2 linked regions of the Sus scrofa genome follow. The protein of the gene in region 1 interacts with the protein of each later gene in a pairwise test. Links are inferred from orthologs where the notes say so. Each region holds a gene or a part of one and is shown on either strand. Other genes may lie near its edges.

Region 1 (4,502 bases):
ACAAAAGAACTTATTCACAAAACAGAAAAAGACCTAAAGATTTCAAAACCAAACTTATGGTTACCAAAGGGGAAACTCTGAGAGAGAGGAACAGATTGGGAGATTGGGATTGGCATATACACACTACTATACACAAAATCATTTGGTAACAAGGACCTAATATATAGCTCCAGGAAATCTATTCAATACTCTGTGATAGCCTATGTGGGTAAAGAATTTAAAAAGTATGGTTATATATGTACATGTATGGCTGATTCACTTCACAATACACCTAAAACTAATATAACATTGTTTTAAGTCACCTATACTCCAATAAAATGTATTAGTAAATAAATGTGTTCCCCTAACAACTCATCTTGTGACAATTCAGGAAACAAAAAGGTCCCAGAAGAGTATGATAATCCTCAGTAAAATTTTTCAAGAGTCAATATATTTAGGATTAATCTGCTGACTCCAACTAGAAACTCAGGTCTAATGCCAGGCAGTACAATATATGCTCAATTATTATGATATGTTAAGCAAACTCCTGAAGATTTTTCTACTGGATACTGCAATATAATGTTCATTAGACACCTTCAAAGTGCTAGACTTTCAATAGGGAAAAATTTTTATCTTATCTGTCACTGTACCAATTTATCACTGTATATTAAATGAAGGCATGGATGAATAAATTAATGAATGGTAAACTAAAGACTCAAAGTTGATCTTTACAAAGTATTACCTAACAGGGGCTAATTTTAAAAGAAAAAAAAAGGCACTGTCTGATTTCAACAAAAGATTTTTAGAGTTTTTATTGGTTTAAAGCACCTGAAATTACCAATATTCAATTGTTTTCCCTACAAAAAGAAGAATTTCATATATTTTAACCTGATTCATTACAATCAGACACATCACAGGTAACACCAGCAACTCATTTTGTTTTTTAAAAAAAACAACAATGAGTAAAAAACAAGTAGTTTACGTAACACATCATGAGCTGGGCCCCTAAAACATGCCCATGATAAGATACATCAGAATTCATATATTTCTCTACCCATGTAACTGCATATTATAACAGGTTTTCATTATATTTTAAAAGTATACACAGCATGATATCAACAGTAATGTCTTAGGACTGTTAAAAATATACTAAAATGTACACTCAATAAAAGCAGGGCTTTGACTTTCTATTTTTTTGCTGTGCCCGTCTTAGACAAAGCCATTTATCTCACAACAAATACTGAATACCTACTTTGTGTCAGACACTCTTTTAGATATTGAGCATACCTAAATTAAAAATCATATGAAGATCTTTGCCTTAATTTCAAATACTGCATAAAATAACAGAAATCTACAGAAAAACTGTTCTAAAGCACTTTGTGTGTATTATAATAACTTTATGAGAATTCCAGGACCCATGATCCTACCCACTAAGCTATATACTACCACATGTTTGAAAATTGATTTAAAAAAAAATAAACTGCCTCCATGAGTTCTCTAAGCAAAAGTATCTTGAGTAAGGGATACTATTAGTATAATTCCTATTTCATGGAAACTTGAGTGACTTGCCAAAATAAATAGTCAAAGAACAAGAATTTCATTAGTTATGGTATACCACAGCTGCCCACAAATGGAAAATCATCAGAATTCTTAATTATCTATCATCCTCAAGGTATTTAGTATGAGAGTTCACCTAGGAGCAAAAGCGTGAAAATATTACCATACTTGTTATTGCAATGGCTTTTTGGTGGGCTTAGGTAACTACAAAAAGTTATCAGCTATTACTTTTCACTTCACAACATAACCTGAAATAATTTACTCCCTAGCATGCAACAATCCACAGGGCTCAATGCTTCTGCTTATTAATTCCACCTGAATCTATGTAAATTAAGAGAAAAAAGGGCTAAATTACGAAAACAGGATCTTTCAATTCCCCAGTCTTTTTCTTCATCAGAAGGATTAACCACAATTTGAAAAAGAATCGTGAAACTGTTGTTTCTAAGGCTTAACTGGTTTTTTTCCTTTGTTGTTTTTAAGCGCATGTCATATTACACAGGATAAAATGAGTGAAGAGAACAGAGAAGTGAAAGAATAGAGAACAAAGCAAAATCTGGAGTCGTCGTTACGGCACAAGGATAAATCCAAAGATAAGGAATCAATGCTGGCTCTTCCTCAGAGTCCCCGTGAATAAGCCCTTAAATCCTCCTGTTAATCTATTGTCTCAGCTCTAAAGCTGGCCAGTGACACTTCCTTGGGAGATGCTCTTGGCATCCTTCCGACAGAAGATGCTGTAGAAATGGAAAAACGGTTACCTAGGGAAACCAAGGAAAGTGGCCAAGGAAAGTATCAGAAGCTCGAGGTTGGCGACACACCCCGGGGCTCCAGCAAAGGCTGGCACTGGGGAGGCCTTAGACATTAAGGGAGAGTACACTTTGCAAGGAAAATAAAATCTGGCCGGAGGCTGTGATTATCAAAAGGACATTCGGGGAGGCCGGCAAGACCTTTTAGAAAATGGTAGGAAACGACCTGCAGGCGTTTACCAGAGAGCAGGCTCAGGCTCCAAGCGGGGAACCATTTGAGGAGCGGCAGCCAGAGGATTATTAGCTTGCCTACATCTGGGGCTGCAAGGCGCCCGCCCGCCCAGGCCTCCGGAGGCGCGACGGGGTCCACCGCTCCGTACCTGCCCTCGCCTCCCAGGTACCGAGGTCCAGGGCAGCCCCACCTCCCTGCAACCCCACTCCCAGCCGCCCGGCCTGCATCCCTTCACCTCTTTACCTTCCAGTCCCTCCATTGCGCCTCCGCGTATGGCTTCGCGACACTCCTAGCACAACACCCGCAGCCGCCGCCACTGCCGCCGATACAGCCGCCGCCGCCGCCCAGCTCCGGCTGTAGCAACACGGCCGCGCCTCCCACCCGCTAATATTCCGAGCTCCCATTGGTCTGACTCTGAGGGCGTGGCTTTCAGAGGGGCGGGTCCTCCGGAGGTGCGCCTCCTGCGGCCGCTGCACCTCTGGCTATGGTCCTGGGCTTTGGTGGTGATCCTCCCGGTAAGCCTAGAACGCTCCAGATTGCATCCTGCAATCCCTGGGCACCTTTGTTCGACTCCAGGCTTGTTCTCGTCATGCCTCAGCCTCCTCTTTAGAATATCTCAGCACCTCAGTGTTCCCGCAGCCCCTTAGTCAGCGCGGTCTGACGGTCTATCTGTCTCTGAGAACTTGAAGCAAATGAGCCAACCAAACACCAGTCTTACACCCTTAGGAGCAGCACCCTCAGCAGCGCCACACGCCTTTATCTGGGTGCATTCTTACTGCATTTTCACACTCAGATTTGAGGCACTTTTTTCCTACTGAATCATACTTTCTCTCTGGGATTGTGGAACGGAGATTCCCCTCAGCACCTGAAAACAATTTCCTCCGCTTGAAAGCTTGGTCCAAAAATTAGAAGGGAAGCACAGCTGTTCCCTCCTTTCATCTACTCTTGACCTCCCCTGGCCCCATACTTGATCATCCTTGAACTAAAGGAGTCCACTGGCCTCCCAGCCTATGAGGTAACATCAAAACTATGTTAATCACCTGGGTTGTGGGATGGAAATCCTTTGAAATTAGATTGTTATGATCATTATACAACTACAGATGTGATAAATACATTTGAGTAATAAAAAAAAAAGGGGAAAAAAACTTTTGTTAATCGCCACACAACAATGGGAGGAAAAAGTATGTATACATGTATGTAAACTTGGTCCCCATGCTGTACAGCGGAAAAAAAATACAATAAATAAAAAAAAAAAAACTATGTCAGATAGTTTAAGAGGGAAACTAATTACATACGGCAGAAGGAGGCCCATGTCTGTCAGAGTCGAAATCACTTGGGGATGAAGGTAACCCCCAAAGCTGGTTAAAACCTGGGCTCAACAGCCTAATCCATTTCACCAGAACTAAATTTCTTTGAAAATTTGATTTAGCAGTGACAAACAATCCGTATCATTGGGTAACTCCAGTATACCTCCTGGCAAGTTATCAGCATTAATGTCATTTCCAAATGATAAATCTCACGTCTCTTTCCTCATCCAAATTTTCAGTTGCCAAGTGTTGACATCATATCTAACTTTGTCTCTCCTGATAAAAGTATGTAATTTATGGGGAGTTCCTGTGGTGGCTCAGTGGAAACGAATCTGACTAGCATCCATGATGACGCAGGTTCGAACCCTGACCTTGCTCAGTGGGTTAAGGATCTGGTGTTGCCATGAGCTGTAGTGTAGGTCACAGAAGTGGCCCGGATCCTACATTGCTGAGCCTGTGGCATAGGCTAGCAGCTCCAGCTCCAATTAGACCCCTAGTCTTGGTATCTCCATATGCCATGGGTGCAGCCCTAAAGTGACCTGAAGACAAAAAGTATGTAATTTATAAACTGGTAGGCTTTATGAAGCCACATAAAGCCACAAAGGATGGTGTGAGAAACAAGTGAACAAGTATTTGAGGGCAACCTCATCTCTTTTTGGGAAGGTGATCTAAGTGTAGTTGAAT
Region 2 (4,470 bases), on another chromosome or scaffold:
CCCCCTGGTGGCCAGCCAGAAAGGGGGCCTGGGCTAGGTGTAGGGTCACTTGCTACATACCGGAATCTGCCTTAGTTTCCCTGCCGTGTCTCCCTATCTTGTGAGGGGGTCAGTGTCAGCTGGTCTCCCCAAGCCCACAGACCCACCCACAAAGGGAAGGGCCCCAGTGGGAAGAGGAGCCCCCACCAGGCCTGGGTGTCAGAGGTGACCCTCACCATGCTGGGCACGGGGAAAGCCGTTGCTGGAATCATCCCTGGCAACAGGAACAGGCTCCCCGCCCACCTCTCGGTAGATATCAAATTCCTGGGCCAGTGTGTGGATCACCACGGATAGGTCCTGCTCCCGCACCTGGGCCACAAAGATGACACAATACACGGGTCCCCAGGCACCCGTGTCCACCCTGCCTTGCCCCAGCACCTGCAGGAAACTCACCAGGATGAAGTCTGTCTGGTAGGTGGACAGCATCAGCACGGACACGTGGTGCTCAGCCAGCGGTGCAATTACTGAGCGGGCAATCTTGGTGACCCCAGCAGCCTGCACTGCTGTGCCGCTGTGGGATGACACATTCAGCACTAGCCACGTGGCCTCGGCCACTTGTAGGAACTCAGACGTGGGCAGCTCTGTGGGGCAGGGGGACACACCCAGTCAGGGCCTGTAGGGCTGGCCCCTGGCCTCAGTTTCCCTGTCTGCGCTTTGGAGGGCTCTACCAAGGTAAGGTCCACTCTGGAAAATAGAGCTGTCCTCCTCCCCCAAGTTCTGCTCCTGAGACCTGCATATATGCAAAGACTGAGAAGTGCTTTGGGTGTTGGCCTGTCAGGGATTGAAACTTCCCAGTTAAAATGGAAGCTTGGAGTTCCCGTCGTGGCACAGTGGTTAATGAATCTGATTAGGAACCATGAGGTTGCAGGTTCGATTCCTGGCCTTGCTCTGTGGGTTAAGAATCTGGCGTTGCTGTGAGCTGTGGCATAGTTTGCAGACGCGGCTCAGATCCTGAGTTGCTGTGGCTCTGGCGCAGGCTGGTGGCTACAGCTCTGATTAGACCCCTAGCCTGGGAACTTCCATATGCTGCGGGAGTGGCCCTAGAAAAGGTAAAAAATAAAATAATAAAATAAAATTGGAGCTCAAAATTCAGACAGACCTGGGTTTTAATCCCAGCTTCATCATTTACTTTCTGTTGACCTGTGGCAAATGATTTAACTTCTGAGAGCCTGTTTCTCCTACAGAAACTGAGTATGTATGCACTGAGTATCAGAGGCCTTACACCATGTGGTACCACCAGGGGGAGCCAGCAGTCCAAGTTGGCTGGGAGATGCCTTCCTCGTTAGCAGACCCAGACTTTTCCGCAGCATAAATAGGGAAACTAAGTAGCCCTGTAGGGGAGGGAGGGAGCCCCAGCTGGCTGGCCAGAGACTCCAGGCCTGTAAGGATGGGTCAAGCTGGCAGGAGAGAAGCCAGATATCAGCTCCAGGGATCAGGGAGGGACCAGGCTGGTGTCCAGTCCAGCACATGGGCCACAGCCAAGGTGGCTGCTAATCGCCCAAACACAGCTAGGAGGCCCCGTAGGATCCTGCCCTGGGCTGGCTGCCGGCTCCTGCATTCCTTCCCCAACCCTCAGACTCTCGGAGTTCCCAGACCAGTCAGGGAGGGAGTGACCCACACCAGGGAGTGAAGCCCAAGGGGAAATAATGGGGTGGGGGGCAAGAACAGCCACAGAAGCCTGATTCTTGCCCCAGAGCTGTAACTGAGGCCCTGCTGCTGGTCTGTGGCTGCTAAATGCCCTTTACACACTGCCCCATTTATAAAACCCTCATGGGGCCAAATAGATCAGAACCGTAACTATATCCATTTTACATAAAACGAAATAAACAACTCAGAGAGGGGAAGTGACTTGATCAAGGGCACACAGCCAGTGAGTAGTGGAAATGGACTGGAACCCAGATCATCTGCCTTCAGGGCCCCAACTCTTGGTACATTAGATCCTAGCATTCTCTTAGAATCCTGCAAAAAGGGGAGGACAACCTCCTTCCCCTACTCACCCTCCCCAGCCCAGTCCCCACCTTTGAAGCCCTCCTCGTCCACCATGAGCGTGTAATCCTCAGGGGTCTCCGTCAGGCTGAAGAATTTGCACCTGGGTGGGGGCAGGGAGCATCTTCAGCCTGGGTGGGCGGAGGGGGCGGGCAGACACCCCCCACCCCGGCTGGGCGTCTCCCTGCCCCCTCCAGACTCAATTTCCTCCCCAGAACAGTGGGGCGTGGGCCCCATCTCCAGAATTGCGAACCGTTTTCCTCCGCCCAGATCTCTGCAGAAGCCCCTGCCCAGCATTCCAAGAGGAAGGAGAGGCTCACCCAAGGCGGCAGTCCCGGGCGTCCGAGCCCCCTTAGACCAGCCCCTCTGACCCGATGAGAGGCAGCTGGAAAAAGTTCTCCGAAGTTGCCAGGAAGAAATGCCCCCATGTGAAACCACTAGGAGTTAAGCACTGACCATCCCAGGCTGTCTGCGCCTTAACAAGCTCTGTGAGGGGGCCTCACGAGCCGGATAGGCGGCGGTCCCAGGGAGGGTAGGCCCAGGCCGGATGGCGGCGGTGGGGAGCGGGGGGCGGGGAGCGCTCTCCCTGTCTGCTCCCGCTGGCCCCGCGGAGGTCCTAATCTCCCGATCCCATCTCAGAGTGACAGTGCAGCCCACCCCCCTCTGTGCCCGGACCCGGACGCGCACCGGCTTCGGCGGGGCAGGAAGAGCAGCTTGATGAGTGGGTGAGTGTAGAGCCAGAGACCGGGCCGGGCGAGGCTCAGCACCCGCACCCGGTGCTCTAGGATGTGCAGCTCCATCGCGGTCCGCGCGGACCCGACCCCACGGCCAAACAGACCCAGGCCGTGCCGGGGGCGGGGCGGCGGGGGCGGTGCCGGGAGGTGCTTAAAGGAGCCGCTGCGCCGCAGAGTCCTAGCCGCCAGCCACGCCAGCTCCCTGACGGCCACGCCGCGCAGGACTGGGGGCCAATCCAGGGTGGCCACGCCTCCTTGTAACGCTAGAGACTCACTCCGCCCCTTATGGCCCCGCCCCTTCGGCATTGGCTCCGGAATCACCACCTAACCCCACCCCCGTCGCGTCCTCCAGGCCCCGCCCATGCCTCTCCCCCACTCCGGGCTCCGCCCTTTCCGCAGGACTCCCGCAGCTGCTCCGGAGAGCCCGGGGAGGCTTGGGGTCTTTTCTGCACTAAGGGCCTTCTGATTAAGTTCACCAAGGCTTGGGAGGGCCACAAGATGAACCGGGGCTCGGCTGTGACCAGAACACTGCTCCCAAATCCTTGAAACATGGGTGGGTAGGGGTCCACTGTGCAACCTAGGAGACGTTGTTGTTCTGTCCCAATAAAGGGTCCTGGCACCTTTCCCTCTCCTTCCTCTGATGGCTTAGCATGAGGCAGGGCCACCAGAACTGGCTGGGGTGGCAGTGAAAAAAGTTCCACAGCCCAGGATAGCACTGATACAAACCCCTCCAAGCTTTGTGAGCCCTGTGAGTGGGCTAACAAGATGAAACCCAACCTGAACTTGGTGGTCCCCACATCTGTTCCTCTCACCCACCTTTCAGAGTAGAAGGCTCCCCACCAGAATCAAAGATGGGGAGGGCCCCAGCTACCTCTGAGCAATACACTGTAGGGTAGGGAGCTGAAGGTAGTCTGGACTAACATTTGAGGCTTAAGACTTAAGTATTTGGGACAGGAATGCCCAAAGCTCAAACTTTGGGGGGCAGGGCCATGCATCCAGAGCCCAGTGTGTAGTCAGACTTAAAAGCCTACAGTCATTAGAACTTGGGCCTGAGCACATTTAAGCTTGTTTCATGTCCAAGGAGGCCCCCAGATCTGAAGCTTGTTAGTGCCACCTTGGGTTCATTTCAACATTAGGGCTGGGGTCTGCTCAGGCCTCTCAGGTTTGCAAAGACCCCAGTGCTGAGCAGACATCAGCACACCTAGGTTGGTTTCCCAGCAGGATGGGACATGTTCCAGGGGCCCTTGCCTGGCCTGCACATCCTCAGGCCTCAGATCCAAGGCTTTGAACCAAGCAGGTTAAAGCAGGCCTCAGGCCTGATTGGGTCCCAGCAGGCCTGAGCAGGCCTCCTACCTGCTGGGGCGGGCGGGCGTGGGGTGGGGGGTGGCGGCAATTGCACGCAGCTAGTAGTGGGGCAGCACCTTCCCTCCCTGGACTCACCAGTTTGGTGGGTTCTGCTGGAACACTGCAGCCACCACATCCTGGCCAGACCCCTAGAGGGCCAGGGGGTGGGAGGTGTCCTCAGGAGGCTGAGCCCCTCATCTGGTTGACGGCAGGTGTACATGGGGTAGGAAGCCACAGGGGTAAGGGGCAGGAGGTAGGAAGGGTGTGGTTTGCCCTGACAGATTCATGTGACCCTTGACCTCCTCAGGCCTCAGTATCCCCAGCTGTACCAGGACAAGATGTTCCAGGCTGAGGCCCTGAGATGCTT

The links.
Region 2: the proteins of ZC2HC1A (region 1) and CASTOR1 interact in binary tests that used the Homo sapiens proteins (3 or more experiments, as listed by UniProt). The two-hybrid records come from large-scale screens. The link is inferred for Sus scrofa from reciprocal best matches to the Homo sapiens genes ZC2HC1A and CASTOR1.

Annotation. Positions count from the first base shown.
Region 1 is NC_010446.5:57,816,991-57,821,492, forward strand, and holds the start of ZC2HC1A (zinc finger C2HC domain-containing protein 1A), read right to left. Parts: upstream 2,902-4,502; 5' UTR 2,771-2,901; coding exon 2,755-2,770; intron 1-2,754.
Region 2 is NC_010456.5:47,263,733-47,268,202, forward strand, and holds the start of CASTOR1 (GATS-like protein 3), read right to left. Parts: upstream 2,998-4,470; 5' UTR 2,826-2,997; coding exon 2,713-2,825; intron 2,699-2,712; exon of another isoform or gene 2,346-2,698; intron 2,129-2,345; coding exon 2,058-2,128; intron 621-2,057; coding exon 216-620; intron 1-215. UniProt on the Homo sapiens protein: Functions as an intracellular arginine sensor within the amino acid-sensing branch of the TORC1 signaling pathway. As a homodimer or a heterodimer with CASTOR2, binds and inhibits the GATOR subcomplex GATOR2 and thereby mTORC1.